Callithrix jacchus: one gene and its partners. The protein of the gene in region 3 purifies or fractionates together with the protein of the main gene of each other region. This does not show direct contact. Links are inferred from orthologs where the notes say so. Each region holds a gene or a part of one and is shown on either strand. Other genes may lie near its edges.

Region 1 (4,246 bases), about 19 Mb from region 3:
GAAGGGCTGAGACAGGATAATCTCTTGAACCCAGAAGGTCAAGGTTACAGTGAGCCATGATTATGCACTCCAGCCTGGGAGTTGGGGTGAGACCCTGTCTAAAGAAAAGAGAGAAAGAAAGAAAGAATGAAAGAAAGAAAGAAAGAACAAAAGAAAGAAAAAAAAAGGAAGGAAGGAAGGAAGGGAGGGAGGGAGGGAGGGAGGGAGGGAGGGAGGGAGGGAGGGAGGGAGGGAGGGAAGGAGGGAGAATCCCAATATTGACCGTATACCCTGAGATCCTGGCCAGTCTGTCCTTGCACCTTCTTTTTTCCCTTTTCGCTGCTTGCACCATCACAGCTAGCTCTTCACCATCTCCCATCCAGAGGCACAACAGTTTCTATTGCCATCATTTTCCAGCTTCACTGTGTTCTTCATGTCAGATTTAAGTTTCTAAATTCACTAGTCTTGTCACTTCTCCGCTCAAAAACCATCCATGTTTCCCCATTAGCTTTAGAACCACTCTTTTAAAACTACCTGATCTTATCCCATCCTCCTTCTCCAAAAGCTGGTTTCCAAATGACATTTTAGGAACCCTGTATGTACATACTTTAAAGTATCCAACTTCTAGACCACTGTTCCTACCTCCTCCCCTTCCTAAAGCACCTTCCATCCCATTTCTATGTAACCAGATCTTACCCACTCTTTATTTATTTGCTTATTTATTTTATTTTGAGACGGAAAGTCTCTCTGTCTCCCAGGCTGGATAGCAGTGGTGCCATCTCAGCTCACTGCATCCTCTGCCTCCCAGGTTCAAGCGATTCTCGTGCCTCAGCCTCCTGAGTAGCTGTGATACAGATACCCCCACCATGCCCAGCTAATCTTTGTATTTTTAGTAGAGATGAAGGTTTTATTATGTTGGCCAGGCTGGTCTTGAGCTCCTGACCTCAGTGATCTGCCCACCTCAGCCTCCCAAAGTGCTAGGATTATAGGCGTTAGCCACCGCTCCTAGCCAACATATATTTTTCTTTAAATGGTACTGTGGATGTAGGTATAAGAGAGATAGCCTGTCTCTCCAGTATCATTTACAGAAAGAAGTGTGTCCCAATGTATTCTATTAGTAAGGACAATCACTTTTGTCTGTAATCAGACTTCTGAGCCTACTCCATGGCCCATTTGTGTACTTCCTTGTAAAATCCAGTTTTAGCAAAGAACCCTACTAAGTCAGTTTGGCAAGGACACCTCGCCCTAGCTATCTGATCACTGTCAGGTTCTGATGAGATTCCTCCTCCTCCACCATCCCCCAGGCAACAACTGATCACCCTGGTCTGTCTTCAGCTACAATTCTGTTAGGCTGGCTTAGCCAGAATCCCCTTTACCCCTGATGTTTCCTCTGAGTAATTTTCTAGCCACTGATCCCACACTACTCCTTGGCCATAAATTCCCACTTGTCCGTGCTGTACTCAGAGTTGAGTCCAATCTTTCCTCTGCACTAAGAGCTCCTTGCAGTGGTCCCTATACCTATTGTGATGATCCTGAGTAAAGTCTTCCCAACCATGATTTAACAAATGACATAGAGTAATTTTTTTCTTTAACAAGAGACACCGGGGTTTCACTTTCTGTTACAGGTATAATAACAGGTTCAGTGGCCCCTACTTTACAAAGAGGAAAATACATCAAGATAGGAGGTTTCTAGTGATATCTGTTCAGATTTCTGTTTAGGATTGCTTTCTAAACTGGGCATAAGCAAGTTCCTTCCACTGGGTCTCTTTGATATTGTAGCCTGGAATTTCTTTTTTCTTTTTTTGAGGCAGGGTCTTACTCTGTTGCCCAGGCCAGAGTGCAGTGGTGCAATCTTGGCTCACTGCAGCCTCTGTCTCCTGGGTTCAAGAGATTCTCCTGCCTTGGCCTCTCAAGTAGCCAGTATTACAGGCACACGCCACCACACCAAGTTAATTTTTGTATTTTTGGTAGAGATGGGGTTTCACCGTGTTGGCCAGGCTAGTCTCGAACTCCTGACCTCAAGTGATCCCCCTGCCTCAGCCTCCCAAAGTGCAGGGACTACAGGCATGAGCCATGACACCCAGCCTGGAATTTCATATTTAACTTAGACTCTGGAAATTCCAAATTAGTTTTAACACAAATTATTTGAGAAACCAAGGTCTCTGTTTCTTTACCTATGAAATGGTGACTGCTTATGCTTACCTTGATAGACTACAAGAATGAAAGAAAATGACGAATATTGAAGTCCTTTACAAATCTAACAAAATGTGAAATATTATTAGGATTTATAGTTTAAGTATTGCAAGTGGATACTGCAGAATAAGTAGTCTTTCAGATTGAAATTTCTTTTAAAACCCCTAGCCTTTTCCATACCAAATAAACAGATCTCTGGAGAACAGTACCTTCTCTCCATCCCCCCGTACCCCTCTTCTTCAGCCCTTCCCTTCACCACCACCATATCCCTCCTGCTGCTGCAGAGTCTGCTTGCAGGCCTTTACACCAGGGAGAGCAAGGCAGATGGGGGAGCACGGACAGACACATGCCTCTCCTGGCACTGCTCATTATTTCTCACTTTATGCATTTTGACTGCAACATCAGAGTGAAACACTGAGGGATATGTATTCCTTTACTGTGCCTTTGCCGCATTCAATGTACGATGTCACATGTGTGCAAGATGAGGCTACTCACGAGACACAGAGGCACAGGACTCCTGGTATCGACTCGCTGTCTCTTAACAGAAAGTTGCCATCCACCCCTTCCTTGAGCAGCAAGGTTTCACAGTCTCGCTTGGTCAGAGGGCCGTGGTAGTAAGGAAGATCCATGGAGAACGCTCTTGTATCCCAGGCAGCCCTGTTGGCCTGAAATTCACCCCCAAGCCAAGGGACAGCTCTGAGGAGGGATGTGGAAGCAGTTGTGCCTCCTGTGGAAATAGCTCTGTCTCTAGTGATCTGTGAGACTCAACCAGCTTCATGAGATTCAGGAAATGAGAAGGGCGGGGTGATAAAATGACCAACACATTTTATCCTCTATGTGGCCCACATGTGACTCACAGAAAGGGGTAAAGCACATTTAAATACACAGTGGAATCAGTGAAGCTCATCGCTAGGGAGACAACGCTGAAGTCAAGCTCTCTGGAACTGCGTTGCAGCCTGTATATTACCATGTACTATCATCACCTTCTCTGGCTACTGGCATCCTGTGCAGGAAGCACAGCATCGCTTTTGCAGTAATGGTACCCATTCTCTGCTGAAGTTGCATAGGATTGGGCTATGCTTAGCGTAGACTGGGTGCTCAAAAAGCATTGGGATGCTGAGAGAATTGATATGCTCAGATACAGTGGGAAAATTGAAACGGTGGCATTTCCATGGATCAAATGACACCAAAAATGGAAGATATTAATGGGAATAGAAAACAGTGGGACACTGTGGATGAGGACAGCCCATTCCATGACTAAGGCTCCTAGCAACTGGCAAAAAAAAGCGCCATTTTTAACACCCTCAAGCATTGTACCTTTTGGAGAAAGGGCTGGTGCAGGTGGGAGGGTTAACTGGTATACTCAAATATCCACAGGAAATCACTATATATCTCAAAAATGAATCCATGAAAATGAAACTAAAATAGAAAAGATGAGTTCGTGACGTATCTTTATTTCACTTCTTCTTTTTCTTTTTCTTCATCTCTGTAGATACCTGGAATCTTAACTTCTTCTTAACCCAGATGTGTATTTCACATTGCTACTTTGCTTACCAGCTGTTTACTCACACTTGGGGTGTATCTTTCAGGAAACTTCCTTGTAACGGTCTTTGTTCTTCCTTGGAATTCCCACTCTTTGCTGTTTGGCATAGCGTAGTTTCACGGATCAAGGAACTTGTTATCAGAGAGAGCTGCTCTCAAATACCAACTTTTCTTCTGTGGTTTTGGACAATTCATTATTATATTTCCCTGGGAACTATGGCAGTTGAAGACAGAGTTATTAATGATGAAAGAAGAAATTCGGTAATTATTGGGAATACATTCACAATCATCGTGTGAAGATGTTTTTGACATAAAAGAGAAAATAACTGAAAGTATGCTCAGGCTCTTGGTTATCACAGGGGCTTGCTGGACCTTTTTCCTGTTTCAAAATTCAATCCTCAGAGTAAAAGAAATATAAATTAAATCCATGCTGAGAGAACATCTCTCACCTATCATATTGGTGAAAAAAATCAAAAATGTGAAAACTTACTGGATTGGTGATGGTGAAAGAAAATAGAACATCTTGTATCTT
Region 2 (4,113 bases), on a different chromosome or scaffold from region 3:
TCTGAGTAAACCCTACAATCAATGCATGTTTATCAGCTATACCTTGTTGTCTATGTGCATATGACACCACTTCTATTGTTATTTTGACTGCATATCATAAGCAAAAGTGTTTTGTTTTAAAATTAGTACATGGTTTATTTCTAAACAAAATTTGATTTTATCATTACAGTGTAGCACCAAAAAGAGGAAATGAAATGTTTATGTTTATCAAAAAGGACTCTCAATTCAAAAACCTTGAGAAACTCTGATAAAAGGCAATGTATCCTTGTATCTTCCCTCTGCAGCACATTCTGGCTATCACTCTAACAGTCTCATAAGACTTTGAGGCCCCAGTGTACCATTTGAAAGACACCATAAGGGAACTCCCAATTTGCCCAGTATTTTCTGCTACTTTACAGGGAGGTTTTCATGGAGAACTAAGGGTCATAAAAACTGCATTTATGCAAGATTCACTTTGGGCAAAAAGTTAAATGCTTGAGAATTTCTCATCTGCCTAAGTTAATTCCTTATGTGGTTCTGGCCTACACAGGCAAAAGGCTAAAGTTGTCCTTCTGTCTTATATATTGTACTGAAGGCAATCTTTTGCAGAAGGTAAGATACACAATACTATTCCTGTTTTATAAATATGGAAAGTGAGACCCAGAGAATTTGAGTGACTTTCCCAGAGTCCACACCCTAACCCATCGATGTCCATTCAGTTTCTTACAGTAAAGAACAGAATTTGCCTTGACAGTGTGTTGATTCAAAAATATTTGCTGAGTGCCTATTATGTGTTTCTGTGTTCCTGGTGATGGAGACAATGTCTCTACCCTCATGGAGATTATATTTTTGCAGGAGCGTCCAGCAATAAGTAGGTAAGTAAGCAAGTTATCAGATAGTTTAAAGCTCTTTGAAGAAAAGTAGAGATGGAGCGAGTGTATCAGGGACAGGGAGAGAGCAGTTGTTCTAGGTAGTGGTCAAGCAAGTCCTCTCTGAGGGAGGAGACAGTTGAACAAACATGTGAACAATAAGTGCAGAAATCCTAAGTGGGGGCATTTTTTAGGAGCTTGAGAAATGGCCAGGAGCCCAGTGAGGCTGAAGCCTTAGGTGTATCTTGACTCTCACTATACCCTGTTGTCCCTCCTCTGCCCAGACTTGTTTTGTACTTTCTTTTTCACCTTTGGGTTAAGGAGCATGTTATCTCCTTTGTCAGCTTCCCTAAAGCAGTACCTTTCACCTGCCCACTGCACCTTCTTTCAATGAGAAAAGAGCCTAAGAATCCCAGCTGGTTTTCTTTGCCCTTCCCTAGGTTCCACATGGAAACAATAATGATATAAGCAAAACATAAAGATTCAAGCCCAAGACAATCAATAGCTTCCACGTATTTCCCTTGAAGCCTTTATGAAAAATGTATTTAGAGCATGATAGGAGAGCTGCAACAAACAAGGCTTGACCATTTTTAATAACCAATATACAGTGAAAATCCTCTAACACCAGCATCGGGATCATCTTTCTTCACTGACCCATAAGGTATTTCAAACTCTTGTAGTGTATCATCAGATGCTGAACTTACTACCAAGCATTTAACCTCATTTGGTTTCTGTCTAGAACCTACTATGCAGGGTTGTTGTTTTCATGGATTTTTTTATTCCGCTGACAATAATGCTTGAGCTAGCTAGGTACTTCCTTAGAAATGCCCCCATGATTCCTAAAAGAAATCAACTGAAAAGAGGAGATATAATAATAATAATATATCTTTAGTATTATTCAATGGATAAGAAAACTGGGGGACTGAAAGGTTAATTTGCCCAGGTCACAAGACTAACATCTGACTAGCGCAGGACTACATCTCAGATCTGCCTGACTCTGGAGCACTGGAGCAACGACACAGGTGAATTTGATTCAAAATGAAGCCTTAGACTGAGACATGCCTAGGCAAAGGGCAAAGCTGAATCATAACAAGGGTGTTTTCCCTCCATTCCCTTTAAGACTACTGTGAGTCCTAATGTTTATCAAGAAGGATCCTATTTCTGAAATCCCCTGCCCCACCCCTCACAGACACTACCTTTCTAAAGAATGCTACATCAGCAGATCCAGAGAGATGATTTTACTTTCACACATCCCCCTCCTCTCTCAGCATCTTGACCTAACTGGCATTGCATTCTTAAAGTAATTGACTGTTTCTTAATCTGCCTCCTCTCTCTGAATGTCATGCTCTTTCTTTGGGATGACACTTCAAAAGTCATTTAAAGAGAGCTAGAGTACGGAGCCACCCGATAGGAGTTAAAATGGAAGTTGGGAGCCTGGGTCTTTCTTGGAGCAAAGGTAAACTTTAGACCATATTTCACCACCCTAAAGGGCATTCTCTGCAGCTGCCCCAAAAGCCCCTGGTGAGGGCCTTCTGGAGAGCAGGAGGCCCAGGGAATGAAATCCCCAGCGAGGGACTCAGGCGAAAGTGTGTTCCCTCACGGCCCTGGACTAGACTTGAGGGTGGGTCATGAAGAAGGCCTCAGCAAGCTGCTAACGCCAGCACCCTTGCCCGCCTCAGCCTCTGCCCTGGCCTCAGCTGCCAGTGCCCACCATCCACATGCTCAGCAGGCCCCTGCCTGCCACAGAATACTCACAGCACACACAGGCAGTACACGCCTGGCACGCTCTCGCTGTCCCTCAGCAAATAGCTGCCATCCAGCCCAGTGGCGAGCAGGAGCTTCTCGCCGGTCTCCCTGCTGATTTTCCCGTGATACACAGCCACTGCATCCATGGCCTGGTGGACTCTCGGGCAGGCCGAGGAGGAGGATTGTACAAGGGAGATGCCGCTGCTACTGCAGCCAGGCACAGATCAACCACCTGACTCCCAGTTCAGCCAGATGTGCAAAAAAGAGAGAGGCACCCAAACAACAGGATGTTGTCTACTTGCCTTAAACCTCCTTCTCACACTTCAATTAAAACCAGCTCAGCAATTTAGTAGCTTGGTTTAATCGAGCTTGCCAAGGGCTTCCATCTCCTGCCCCCCAACACAGGGTTCTTACAGAGGGGAGGAAAATTAGAAGAAGGATTTTGCAAGATTTGAGCTGTACTGCCAACACACACCCTTGCACGCAGATAGGGATGCTTAGTAATGCTTCTGTTCTTGCAGATTACTCAGAGGCCACAAGGAATAACTTAGCTCAACCAGCCGGTAAGGAGTTGATGATAGAGGCAAGTTATACATGTCTCTGTCGGTATGTGGACCCATCATGTAGGGCAGAAACATACTGACAGAATGAAAGGACCAAAAGCTCTGAGAACAAAACACTAATAGTTTTATTAGTACTGTCATTATGCAATCATTACTGAACACGGCCATGAAGACTCCTACAGAATCAGACATAGCAGATGAACAGTGAACTTTGGGCAAGTTCTTTTTCTCCTTCTTCCTTCTACCTCATGCAGTCATCTTGAGAAGTCTTGGTCCTGACCAATATTGATTTCTTTCCTAACACCTTGTCCAAGGTCCCAAAGTGCTAGTTGAGATACAAAAGTCACAATGCACATCCAAAGATGTTCCAGATTTAAGTATTTGATGGGCTTTAGATGAGACAATGTAACATTTAACTGGTGATTTGTCTTAATGCAAATTTGTATGTGCCCTTTGGTGTATAAGGCCCACCTTTCAGCATTTTGTCCAAAAAATCTGTTTTAAATCATTTGCAAGCGTTGATAATTTTGTTGTAACTTTTATTGTCTGTTGTTTCTAAACAATGTTATTTCTTCGATTGATGCTAAACTGTCTTTAATATTTTAAAACCTTTCAACCTCCATTTTCTTCTCTGAAATAAAGCATTGCTTCTATTTCAAAATGTGCTAGGTAATATTTCCCCAAAACTTCTTGCATTTTCACTAGAGTAAGAATTTATTGCTGAAGCTGAATGGTCTTATACATGTACCTTTAGATTATGCAAAGTACTTGTAAAATTGGAATTAAAATAACTGAAGCTATGTGATCTATTATATGCTTTCTGCAACTTCAGCGTGTAGTTCTTTGAGAATATGGCAATGCTGGGAGCTCAATAGGGAGAGCAATACTTAATTCCTCACATGTCTTACCAATGGATTGCAGGTACAGAGCTGACTTGCACCAAAGGCAGATATTTG
Region 3 (4,245 bases):
CACCTTTGACTCTCTGTGTATGAATGCTTCCTTTCCGTGAAGGAAGTTTAAATTCTACTTCCTTCAGTTTTTGTTAAATGACCTTTGAGACTCTGTGAATCAATGCTTTCGTCTGTATATGCACATATTAATAGTACGTATCTATAGTGTGTAGTAAAGATTAAACAAAATAATAACTGTAGACTACTTAGAGTAATGCCAAATATGCAGTGATTGCTCCATAAATGGTTATTTATTAGTTTTATTGATGGGAGATAAGATAGAAAATTGAAGAAACAGAAATAAGAACGGGGCAGAGAAAAGGAAGAATTAAGAGTATGAGACAGAATATGCAGAGGGGATGGGCAAGGATTAAAACCTGTGAACTGCTCCATCTCCTACCCCCAGAGTGGGAGTGTCTCCTAGGATATGTGGAGAGACAGTCAGAGTCATGATGTTTCCAAAGTCATGATTAGAAAGTTCAGATCAGAGCATAAGACTGTGAATTTTGACTCAGAAAACTTTTCCAACGTGGAACAGTCATGAGTCTGCACACTCAGACTTTCCTTATGTCGGCGATTTCTGGGGGAAAATGGGGATTTCTCCCTGCATCTCTCCACTGCTTCTCAGCCTCTTCAACTGCTCTGAATTCCAGGAAAATGCATCAAATGTAGACTCCTAAGCCTAATACTGAATATAAAGGGCTACCTCTAACAGGAGCAGCAGCAGGAGGAATTCAGGGTATATTTTTGTGCTGAGAAAAGGTTTGCAGAATAATCCTTAACAGGCAAACAGATAATTCGGTAAAAGTGGGCAGTGTGTAAAAAGTATTCCTGGCTTTACTTTTATTAAAAAACAAAACAAAAACAAAAACAAACAAAGAAAACTCCCATTCCGTCTTTCATGGATCCTCGATTAAATGGATATCTCTTTCCTAGTCTCCTTTTCCAGAATCCCAACAACCAACACCTAAGCTCCAACTCCCACCACCTTTTCTCCTGTTGATGTTCCTTGGACCATTCCCAGACAGAGGAGTCCTGCCTAGGATCTCCGTGCAGTAAAGCCATGGCTCTTCCTAAGAATGCATGAAAAGTGAGTGTGAAAAACAGCAGCACTAGCTAGTATCTGTTAAACGATATATTCAGCTACTATACCAAGTGTTGTTCATGCATTATCATCATTTTGATTCGCAAAACAATTCTATTACATTAATACCTTCCCCATTTTGACGCTGAAACAAAAGTCAAAGGAGAAATACAACTTCCTCAGGGTCACAAAACTCATAAACAAAAGAATTCACTACTAGTTGATTTGACAATTTATTTCAGTTTCAGTAGATGAAAGAAGTATATCCAAGAGCTACCTTTTATCTTAGCAGGTATTAACCTTTTGCATCAAGAATTTGAAAACGATGAGTGAGGAGGTCAAGTGGAGCAGAAAGAATAACCAGTGAGATTGGGATTAACTTTAAGATTAGAAAAACCGATGTCTATTTCCACCTCTACCAATTTAGGTATTGAAATTTCAGGTGAGCCAGGCGCGGTGGCTCAAGCCTGTAATCCCAGCACTTTGGGAGGCCAAGGCAGGTGGATCACGAGGTCAAGAGATCGAGACCATCCTGGTCAACATGGTGAAACCCCGTCTCTACTAAAAATACAAAAAATTAGCTGGGCATGGTAGCGCATGCCTGTAATCCCAGCTACTCAGGAGGCTGAGGCAGGAGAATTGCCTGAACCCAGGAGGCGGAGGTTGTGGTGAGCCGAGATCACGCCATTGCACTCCAGCCTGGGTAACAAGAGTGAGACTCCGTCTCAAAAAAAAAAAAAAAAAGAAATTTCAGGTGAATTTTTTAACCTCTAAATCTTACTTTATTTTTCTTGCATAATGTAATTAATAATATCTATCTATCTTTCCCATCTCAATGGTTTTCATATGGATAACATAAGAATGTAGGCATAAATATTGTAAAATGTTTTGAAAATTAAGTGGTATCAAATGCCACCTTGTCTAGTCTCTCTCTGGAAGATTAAGGACATTCCCAGTACCAACTTTTCCTCACCTAGTTGCATTTTCTGTTTGCCATTCTCGAGCAGCCAGTAGAGGCTCCAAAAATTTGATCTGATCTTTTAATGTTACACAGTTTTCTTTGTACCAATAACAATCAATATTCATGTTGTTCTTTTAGTTTACCGTTATGCCATAAGTAAGAGAAATAGGGTTTTTGATTCAAGTTTTCCAACTTTTTGAGACTATTTGTGTAAAATGGGATAGTAATCTCTTCCTCATTTATTTTAGAGTTTCTGAAGGATAAAAGCAGTGTAATGTCTCTAACTGTGTTTTGAAAATAAAGGGAGTTTATAGAGAGGAGGCCTACACAAGGATAACAATGAGTCAAGCATCACTCTAACCTGATGGATCAATCAACTATAATTAGGAAAGACATTTTCTGCCTCAAAAACCACCACAGTTGAATGCCAAGAAGAAATGGCTTTTAAGTCATTCAAGCTTTTAGATGATCTTTCCTTTGCTAGGCTTTATGGGTGGGTTTACCAAGTTCTGGCTCCTCTGAGAAGGATTTGCCTCAGACCTTTGGAAACTGAGATCTCCAAAACCAGACAAAATTCAGAAATATAGACTTTAAAGCTGAAAACCACTTAGGTTTGGATTTTAAGTCTCTCCCCAGCCAGTTGGATCCTGCTGAGTACAGTAAATACTGAGACTCAGCAGTTCTGTTAAAAACATCAAAAGAACAGTTCAGTCTTTCTTAAGGGAAAGTTTTAAAACTTTATGGAAAACTAGGAGGGGATCAGCAAGGGTCAGAACTCACAGGTTTGCAGGCAAAGGAGCAAGATCCATACGTGGTGTTGAGCCATCTCTCTTGGGGTCTAATCTTCTGTGGAAAAGCACGGCACTGTTCTAGCAGAGTCAGTTTCACTCGAATTTTTGTCCTCCTTTTTATAGCTAAGTTGAAGAAAGGAAGTGCAACTAACTTCCTTTAGTTAACATTGGTGTTGTATTACTGTGCTAGTTTTTTCTAATTTAAAGGGCCTAACATTAATTATTTCTTCAACAAATATCTATTGTGTGCCTACTATGTGCCAGACACTCTTCTGGGTGCTGGCAATATACAGAGCAACAAAGCAATTGATCGCCCTCTTTTCATGGATTTTTTTACTCCTTTTTGGAGTAATCAACAACTAAACAAGCAATTTCAATATAACGCAGTAAGTGTTGTAAGAGGGAAAATACAGGGAACTCTGAGAACAGTAGGGGCGTCTATCTCAGGCTAAGAAAAGTTGGAGTAGACTTTCTGAAGAAATTGACAACCAAGCTGAGGCAAGCCTGAAGAATGAATTACTATTATTAGGCAAATGGTGGCGGGGGATGTGAAAGAGAAAAAAATATATGATTATGTATTATAATATCTAATCATATTATTTTTAACACAATAAATTATATATTAATTATATCATAATTATATACCATTTAATATTTAATATAATCAATTATATATTAATTATATATTATTAATTATATTAAGTCAAAGGTCAAAGGGAAGGTGGAAGAGACATAATACTGAGTTATATTAAGTATTATGTTAATAATATATAATTATATTTATACACAATATAATAATATATAATTATGTAGTATATTAATACATAACATAGTATAACTATATGCATATAATTATGTATGATTCCATGATATCATCATGAAACATGATTATGATCACACCTTATTAGGGACACAAAAAGCATTTGATAAAAATTAAAGCTGAAAGGGATTTTTAGACTATCAAATCTATTCTGCAGAAGGAGAAACTGGCTCAGAAGGAGAGGAAGTGATTTTTCTCTATTTCACTCAGTGAATTAGTAAACTGAGGTAAAAGGCAGCAAGTGTCACTTGGAAAAGACCATGACTCCTGGGCATGAGAGACAGCAGGTGCAGAGGCATGCTTAGGTGGAGTTGAGCTAGATTTAACAGGACCTTTTCTTGTGGAGGGTCCTCATCCTGGTTAGTGGGAATAAGAGTGATTGTGTAATGTGTGTATGGGAGAGGTTGTCTGGGAATGGTGATGTAAATGGATATTTGGACCCAGAAGCTAAGCAATGTGACCCAGCTGTTTTGGGGAGTGCTGGGAAGGCTGGGGACCCTACCCCTGAGACCTGGAGGATGTGTAAAGCTTTTCCAACTGAGAGGAGTCCTCATGTCAGATAGCTTATTCCTAGGAAACCTGGGCCTCTAGAATCACTCATTAAACAA

The links.
Region 1: the proteins of CD84 (region 3) and SH2D1B purify together in Homo sapiens (affinity purification with western blotting; 3 studies listed by BioGRID and IntAct, with this or other methods). This does not show direct contact. The link is inferred for Callithrix jacchus from reciprocal best matches to the Homo sapiens genes CD84 and SH2D1B.
Region 2: the proteins of CD84 (region 3) and SH2D1A purify together in Homo sapiens (affinity purification with western blotting; 4 studies listed by BioGRID and IntAct, with this or other methods). This does not show direct contact. The link is inferred for Callithrix jacchus from reciprocal best matches to the Homo sapiens genes CD84 and SH2D1A.

What each region holds. Positions count from the first base shown.
Region 1 is NC_133519.1:39,150,907-39,155,152, reverse strand, and holds the start of SH2D1B (SH2 domain-containing protein 1B), read right to left. Parts: upstream 2,922-4,246; 5' UTR 2,802-2,921; coding exon 2,668-2,801; intron 1-2,667. UniProt on the Homo sapiens protein: Cytoplasmic adapter regulating receptors of the signaling lymphocytic activation molecule (SLAM) family such as CD84, SLAMF1, LY9 and CD244. In SLAM signaling seems to cooperate with SH2D1A/SAP.
Region 2 is NC_133524.1:120,100,318-120,104,430, reverse strand, and holds the start of SH2D1A (SH2 domain-containing protein 1A), read right to left. Parts: upstream 2,829-4,113; 5' UTR 2,741-2,828; coding exon 2,604-2,740; intron 1-2,603.
Region 3 is NC_133519.1:20,498,559-20,502,803, forward strand, and holds the start of CD84 (SLAM family member 5), read right to left. Parts: upstream 2,907-4,245; 5' UTR 2,853-2,906; coding exon 2,807-2,852; intron 1-2,806. UniProt on the Homo sapiens protein: Self-ligand receptor of the signaling lymphocytic activation molecule (SLAM) family.